Lepisosteus oculatus: one gene and its partner. The protein of the gene in region 2 purifies or fractionates together with the protein of the main gene of each other region. This does not show direct contact. Links are inferred from orthologs where the notes say so. Each region holds a gene or a part of one and is shown on either strand. Other genes may lie near its edges.

What was found. Proteins that work in one complex are often made in the same cells at the same time.
Region 1: the proteins of slc37a3 (region 2) and atraid purify together in Homo sapiens (affinity purification with mass spectrometry; 3 studies listed by BioGRID and IntAct, counting the BioPlex papers as one, with this or other methods). This does not show direct contact. The link is inferred for Lepisosteus oculatus from reciprocal best matches to the Homo sapiens genes SLC37A3 and ATRAID.

What each region holds. Positions count from the first base shown.
Region 1 is NC_090697.1:17,176,160-17,179,907, forward strand, and holds the start of atraid (all-trans retinoic acid-induced differentiation factor), read left to right. Parts: upstream 1-1,374; 5' UTR 1,375-1,403; coding exon 1,404-1,499; intron 1,500-2,606; coding exon 2,607-2,737; intron 2,738-3,748. UniProt on the Homo sapiens protein: Promotes osteoblast cell differentiation and terminal mineralization. Plays a role in inducing the cell cycle arrest via inhibiting CCND1 expression in all-trans-retinoic acid (ATRA) signal pathway.
Region 2 is NC_090702.1:2,560,213-2,563,960, reverse strand, and holds the start of slc37a3 (sugar phosphate exchanger 3), read left to right. Parts: upstream 1-1,088; 5' UTR 1,089-1,194; intron 1,195-1,465; exon of another isoform or gene 1,466-1,485; intron 1,486-1,657; 5' UTR 1,658-1,741; intron 1,742-3,323; 5' UTR 3,324-3,385; intron 3,386-3,461; exon of another isoform or gene 3,462-3,465; 5' UTR 3,466-3,500; coding exon 3,501-3,577; intron 3,578-3,748. UniProt on the Homo sapiens protein: Unlike the other SLC37 members, lacks glucose-6-phosphate antiporter activity.

The DNA of each region.
Region 1 (3,748 bases), on a different chromosome or scaffold from region 2:
AGGATCTGCATCTCTGGCTGGAAGGTTACTGGTTCAAATCCCACAGCTGGCAGAGGAATCCAACTCTGTTGGGCCTCTGAGCAAGGCCCTTAACTCCAGCTGCTCCGGGGTGCTGTATAAATGACTGAGACTGTACTCTAACCCAAGCTTCTCTCCCTATCTGTGTGTCTCATGGAGAGGAAGTTGGGGTATGTGAAAAGACAAATTCCTAATGCAAGAAATTGTGTATGGCTAATAAAGTGATCTTATCTTATCTGTGGGAAACCGCTTTGTAAAAACGACTCTTAAGCGGTCTGTCCTACAGCTTGTGGATGCAATATCAGATGTTTCATAATACGCCGCTAGTGAAAGGCTGCTGTTTTTCCAGCGTATATATTGCACGGCATAATAGCAAACGACAAACCTCATTAAAACTGTCATTTGCCATTTTGGCCAGAGTAAAATATTGAATTAAAACAAAAATAACGATGAAATAATAATAATTGCTTACACTTATCTAGCGCTTTTCTGGACACTCCACTCAAAGAGTGGTAATGGGGACTCCCTTCCACCACCACCAATGTGCACCACCCACCTAGATGATGCGACGGCAGCCATAGTGCGCCAGAACACATCAGCTATCAGTGGGGAGGAGAGCAGAGTAATGAAGCCAATTCATAGATGGGGATTATTAGGAGGCCATTATTGGTAAGGGCCAATGGGAAATTTGGCCAGGATGCCGGGGTTACACCCCTACTCTTTTCACGAAATGCCCTGGGTTTTTAATGACCACAGAGTCAGGACCTCGGTTTCACGTCTCTTCCAAAAGACAGTGCCTGTTTACAGTATAGTGTCCCTGTCACTATACTGGGGCATAAGGACCGAAATGGACCACAGGGTGAGCACCCCCTGCTGGCCCCACTAACACCTCTTCCAGCAGCAACCTTAGTTTTTCCCAGGAGGCCCCCCCAACCAGGTACTGACCAGGCTCACACCTGCTTAGCTTCAGTGGGCTGCCAGTTGGGAGTTGCAGAGTGATATGGCTGCTGGCTAAAATGGTTCAATCAACCAGATTATTTTTGACCACTGCGTCGTCCAGTTAATTCACAATACCATTGCCAGCGTTATTCTCAGGCAGTTAAATACACTAGCATTGTACGCATTGTTGCTCCAGAAGAGGCTTTGGGTTTCTATACCGGAGTACCACCTTAAATTCACAGCTGCCGTCTTCTGCCATCGTTTGCAAAAACTGCGCTGAGCTGCGCAGAATCTGCAAAAAAATCCTGTACGTGGGGTTTGTTGCGTCACGCAGGAGCCCTGGCAGAAAAACGCCGATCGCAGCAGAGTTTGTGCAGAACTGCGGAACCAAAAATCACGTGATTCCCGAATATATCTTGTGACCCGGACTATCTCTACAGTAAGAGATGGGTAAAGGAGCTCGCCGGGTGTTTCTAGTTGGTACTATAGTACTTCTTTTTCCTATTTGTGCTGTTCCTGGCAATTCGCAAACTGTGTACAAGGTCAGAAAAGAATACAAATATTTTCGATATGGTTATGCTTGTTGAAACGTAATGATACTTCACTATTTTCAAAAATCTGAAATAAATCTGTACGGTACTCGTAATTTGGAAGCCTATCGTAACGTAATGTGTATGTAATTATGATTATCTTAATCGTATGTTTTGGGATTATGCTATGATTAAAGGCGCTATGTATAAGGTTTGCTTTTAACGATGGTAATGTTAAATGTCATTACAAACGACGTTGATGTCGTATAATACAATTACATTATACGACATATACATTGATATATGTACTGTATATATGATAATATATATTATATATATGATAATATAGCTACAATACTGCAAAATGTGTTTATGACAGCTTCCTTGAGCAAAACAAAGTGTTGTGCCTTTTGTTAAAAAATATTGGTGACTAAAATCTCGGAGATAACAGAATTATGAGATGCAACCAGAACTTCAGCCACAAATAAGGAACTTGAAGGGTGCTGAGAGCTTTCTTGCTGCTACTTGCCAGATAGGTTTTGTGTGTTACCACCTACAAGAGTAGTTCAGATAATCCCATTTTGTTCAGTACTAAAACGTTTGCTTTTAAATTTCTATATTGGTCAGGAAAGGAGAGCTGTAATTAGGTGAGTCAAAAACTGCTCATTATTAATTTTGAATTGTGAGGCTGGTAAGGTGGTTGTAATATTTTAAAAAGTGTTTTGTTCAATCCACTGGCAGTGCTTTTAAAAGGAACAAGTTCAAACCACAATTTAAACACTGAAACACAAACTAGAGGACACAGCTGGAAACTGCATGGAAGCGCATTGCGCATTTAAGACAAGTGCGTTTAAAACCAAGAACAGGAGACACCTCTTTACCTTTCTTCATTTAAGAACTGTGGGAGTATGGGACAACCCACCTGGCCATACAGTGGAAGCCTTGAATCCGATGTCTTTCAAAAAACCTCTGGATGAGATCCTTGGATCGATCAACTGCTAATCACCAAAGGGGCTGGATCGGCCGAATGGTCTCCTCTTGTCTGTGACCTTTCTGATGTTCTTATTTCAATTGCGCCATAAAGATGGTGGGTTCCTGTTGTCTTTGCCTGTGTGATAGGTGTGTAGCCGGTGTGAGGGGGATCTGCGGAATGGCACAGCAGTGGGCGATCTCTGCCGGTCGAACAGCAGCCTTGAGAGGGAGGGCCGCTGCTGTCTGCAGAAGCAAGCTTTGCCCAGCCCCATTATCGGGTAAGGAGTGTGGCGGCTGGTGTGAAGCATAGACTGTCTGGTCCTCCTTCATTTCACAAAGAATTTCCTAGGAGGAAAATATAAGTTGTATCACCAGCAGCCATGTCACCCTGGACCTCCCAACTGGCAACCCACTGAATCTCAGCAGGTGTGAGCCTGGTCAGTACCTGGAGACCTCCTGGGAAAAACTAAGGTTGCTGCTGGAAAAGGTGTTAGTGGGGCCAGCAGGGGACGCTCACCCTGCGGTCTCTGTGGGTTCTAATGCCCCAGTATAGTGACGGGGGCACTATACTGTAAAAAAGGTGCCGTCCTTCGGATGAGACGTAAAACTGAGGTCCTGATGTTCTGTGGTCCCAGGGCATCTCTCGAAAAGAGTAGGGGTGTAACCCCAGCGTCCTGGCTAAATTTTCCATTGGCCCTTACCGATCATGGCCTCCTAAATCCCCATCTATGAATTGGCTTCATTCCTCTGTTCTCCCCCCCACTGATAGCAGGTGTGTGGTGAGTGTACTGGTCCACTATGGCTGCCGTCACATCATCCAGGTGGATGCTGCACATTGATGGTGGTGGAGGGGAGTCCCTATTACCTGTAAAGCACTTGTGGAGTGGATTGTCAGGAAAAGTGCTATATAAGTGTAAGCAATTATAATTATTATCTGGCACCGTGGCACGTCCTGTTAACTTACTGATCTTTGAAGACAGGTTATCCACCCATCCATCTTCTAATCACTTTATCCAGTACAGGATTACGGGGGGAGCTGGATCCTATCCTGGCAAGCAATGGGCACAAGGCAGGAAACACCCTGGATGGGATACTAGTCCAGTGCAGTGCAGACACACACACTCACACCAGTGCCTGTTGTCCCAAAAGCCAGTGAACCTACTACATACTGTACTACATGTGTTTGGACTGTAGGTGGAAACTGGGGCAGCTGGAGGAAACCGAATTGAACATGGGGAGAACATATAAACCCCATTCAGATAGCACCCCAGGAATTGAACTCGGAGTCC
Region 2 (3,748 bases):
CACCCCCGGAGCAGCTGGGGTGAAGGGCCTCGCTCAGGGGCCCCAACGGAGTAGGATTCCTCTGCTGGCCCGTGGGATTTGAACTGGCAACCTCCCGGCCACAGGCACAGATCCTGAGCTGCAGAGCCGCCACTACGTCCCCAACTCTTGTTCAGTGTTGCGAGACTGCTCCTGACTGCGAGAGCGTCCGAAGGGGTTGGCCGCCGGAAAAATGCGGCTATCAGGCCCATCCGGCCCTATGTGCTAGTTAGCAGTTAATCGATCCCACGATCTCATCCTGTGCTTGCTTGAAAGAAGTTAATCGGCTTCAACAGCATGGCTGGGTAACCTGTTCCCCACTCCCGCCACCCTCTGTGTAAAGAAGAGCCTCCTGTCCCGAATGGAGGAGCTCACCCAGCTGTGTCTGGAGAGAAGCACGGGTATGGGCTTCAATAACATGGCAGGGCCGCTTGTTCCACACCCCCACCACCCTTAGTGTAAAGAACTGCCTTGTGTGCTCGGGAGGCTAGAACGAGTGTTCAATGGCTTTAAACAGCTGGAGCAATTTCATTGTGACCTCTGAAACAGCTGGCCTGATCAATGTGATCAATGCAGCAGTTCAGAGTGCCTTTGAAAAGAAAATACAGACATCCTCTAACTTTTAAGGAGCATGGCTAGACATCACTGATTTCATTGAACTGACTCACTCAATGGATCAAAACCCACGTCTGTTCTAAGTCTTTAGAAAGTGTCGATTTAATTAATCTCTCAGAGTGCTGATAGATTTTGGCTCTCCAGAACATGGCCTGGCCGTGTATACAATATGAAAAGTGCATATAGTGTATACAGTGTACATGTACTAAAAAGTGTTAGCTTCAGAGCCGAATGTTAATCATGTGCGACGTTCAGGAGTTTCAGTTTTCCTTTCCCGGGCTAAAACGAAAGCGTGCTAGCTTTTGTTTTGTCACGACCGGGAGGCAATTTAAAAATCTGTCCGCCCCGGCAGGTAGCCGCCACCGCCACCCAGGATTGGCTGGTGACGATAACGTGGTTTAAAAAAAAAAACAAACAAACCTCCCCGGACTACAACTCCCACACTGCATCGCGGTAGCAGCAGGAAGCGGGGCAAGAGCGAAGCTCCGAGAGGCGCAGAGATTGCAAGTTTTTTTTTTTATGTCGTACCCTACAGGGGTTATACCTTGTTAAAACTGATGGGTGAGTATTGAATATACCTCAGTGCGGGATGAAACGGCGCCGTCTGGTAAATTCACTTGAGGATAAGGCATGCACGGTGCGGAAACGAAAGAGCTGTTCCCTGTTTTATTTATTTTGCGCTACGGACAAATAAAGAGTTGTGCAATGAAGTTCTGTCTAGCTCTTTTCCTACCAAGCAGTGCTTTTTTTTTTTAATTTGAACATTTTGAAAATTGCGTGGGCTCTTTTGTGCTTCACGGGGGGTTTTTGCAGCGTGATGCAAGCTGCACCGTGGGCTTTTAAGGTTTGCAGGTAACGTGCGACGCTTTTTCAGTCCGGCGCAACCTTGTGTGTGTTAACGAAACGCATCGCTCGGGCTGTACCTGCGACGTGGCATCATTGATCGGGATTTTACGGTGCGGGATTTTATATTCCTGAGCGACGGGTCGCAGAGACGTAGCTAACTTCTCTTCTTGTCTGACAGCGGTGTGATGGGTCAGCCCGGGTGATTATGTACGTGCCGAAGAAAAGAAAGGCGAACGGACGCTGGATTTGATATTAAAAACAGGTTGGTCACCTCACGCCGTCCGAAAACACCGCTCTCGTCAGATGTCGAATCAGCTCAAAAAAGTTTGGGTCCTTATCTTCCCAAACGCCTTTTTTACCGGTGCTGTGCTTTGTGGACTGTTTGAAGGAGAACCACGTTACGATGCACGTAAAGTTCAGACGCTTTCTGTGTTGAAGATACCCAAAGCTCTTCCTTAAGTTCCTTTTTCATTCCGTTGTTCGGGGTGTTTCTCAGAAGATCTCGTTTGTGATGTTGCTTGCGAAGTCGTGTTTCCCCGTCGTTATGGCTTAAAAAAAAATGTGTCGGGCTTAAATCCCTTATGTCTCTGAATATGTGTCGCCGCCTTCTTCATCTCGGCTGCTTCTGGATTAATGACCTTCATAGTCTCTAAATAGGTCTTCTCGGCTTCTCGAGGTGTCACATGTTCGTATGGGGAATAATGTTTCCATTTACTGCTTTCCCAGCAAACCGCAGAACTAACGGCCCCCACAGACGGGAAACATCTGGCCAAGAACAACTGGAGTCTCTCAAGAGAGACTGTGAGCTCACTGCCAACCTTACTGCCCTTCCAAGAAACTGGCCAGCTCCTGATGGGGGTCCCTGCAGATCGCTGCAAGGCAAAAGATGCTCGCAGAGTGCATTAGAAAATGGATCAGTCCAGTGGGATTCATCTGCCTAAGAATAGTTACTATACTGAGAGGAGGCCATGAGACCATCTAATCTGATTAGTAACAAGGAGCTGATTGAATGTCACTTAACGACCTTTGCTGGGCAGCCTGTTCCCCACTCCCACCACCCTTTGTGTAAAGAAGCCCCCTCCTGTCCGGACTGGAGCCTCTCATCCAGCTGTGTCTTGACAGCAGCGAGGGTGTTGTTGGCTTCAACAACGTGGCTGGGCAGCTCGTTCCCCACTCCCACCACCCTCTGTGTAATGAAGAGCCCCCCCTTGTCCTGACTGGAGGAGCTCACCCAGCTGTGTCTGGAGAGAAGCCAGGGTATCGGCTTCAAGAGTGCAGCTGGGCAGCTTGTTCCACTCTCCTGCCACCCTTTGCGTAAAGACGTGCCTCCTGTCCTGACTGGAGGAGCTCATCCAGCTGTGTCTGGAGAGAAGCCAGGATATCGGCTTCAACCACAGGGCTGGGCAGCTCGTTCCCCACCCCCACCACCCTCTGTGTACAGAAGAGCCTCCTGTCCTGACTGGAGGAGCTCACCCAGCTGTGTCTGGAGAGAAGCCAGGATATCGGCTTCAACCACAGGGCTGGGCAGCTCGTTCCCCACCCCCACCACCCTCTGTGTACAGAAGAGCCTCCTGTCCTGACTGGAGGAGCTCACCCAGCTGTGTCTGGAGAGAAGCCAGGGTATCGGCTTCAACCACAGGGCTGGGCAGCTCGTTCCCCACCCCCACCACCCTCTGTGTACAGAAGAGCCTCCTGTCCTGACTGGAGGAGCTCACCCAGCTGTGTCTGGAGAGAAGCCAGGGTATCGGCTTCAACCACAGGGCTGGGCAGCCTGTTCCCCACCCCTGCAAACTCCCTGAAGCAATGCCACTTTCTAAAGGAAACTTGATTTTTGTCCTTTTTAGTCAAAGAAAAACCAGAAGCCGGTTCTGCTCCTGGAGATTTGTGAGCTTTAAGATCCAGCCTGTAAGTATCATCTCTCATTTTCGTGAGCCTACCTTCCCCGATCCCGCCACCTCTGACTCGCCTGCTGTTCCCTGTAGACGGGTGGTGCCCCCCCCTCCCGACCCCAGACTCCCGTGATGACACCCCTTTGCTGTGGTCTGCTGTCACAGTTCACCCACCACCACCTGACTGCCTTCGTCCTCACCTTCTTTAGGTAAACTCGTCTCCGTCACTGTGGGCTCGGCTGCAGGGCGTACCCCCCTCTCTCCTCCCCCCCCCCCCCCGTCCGGCCTGAAACGTCTCGACCCCTGCTGATCTTTCTTTTTTTTTTTTTACCTCTGTATGGGTCTTCTCTAAGTGATCTGGTTTCGTCCCACAATCCAGA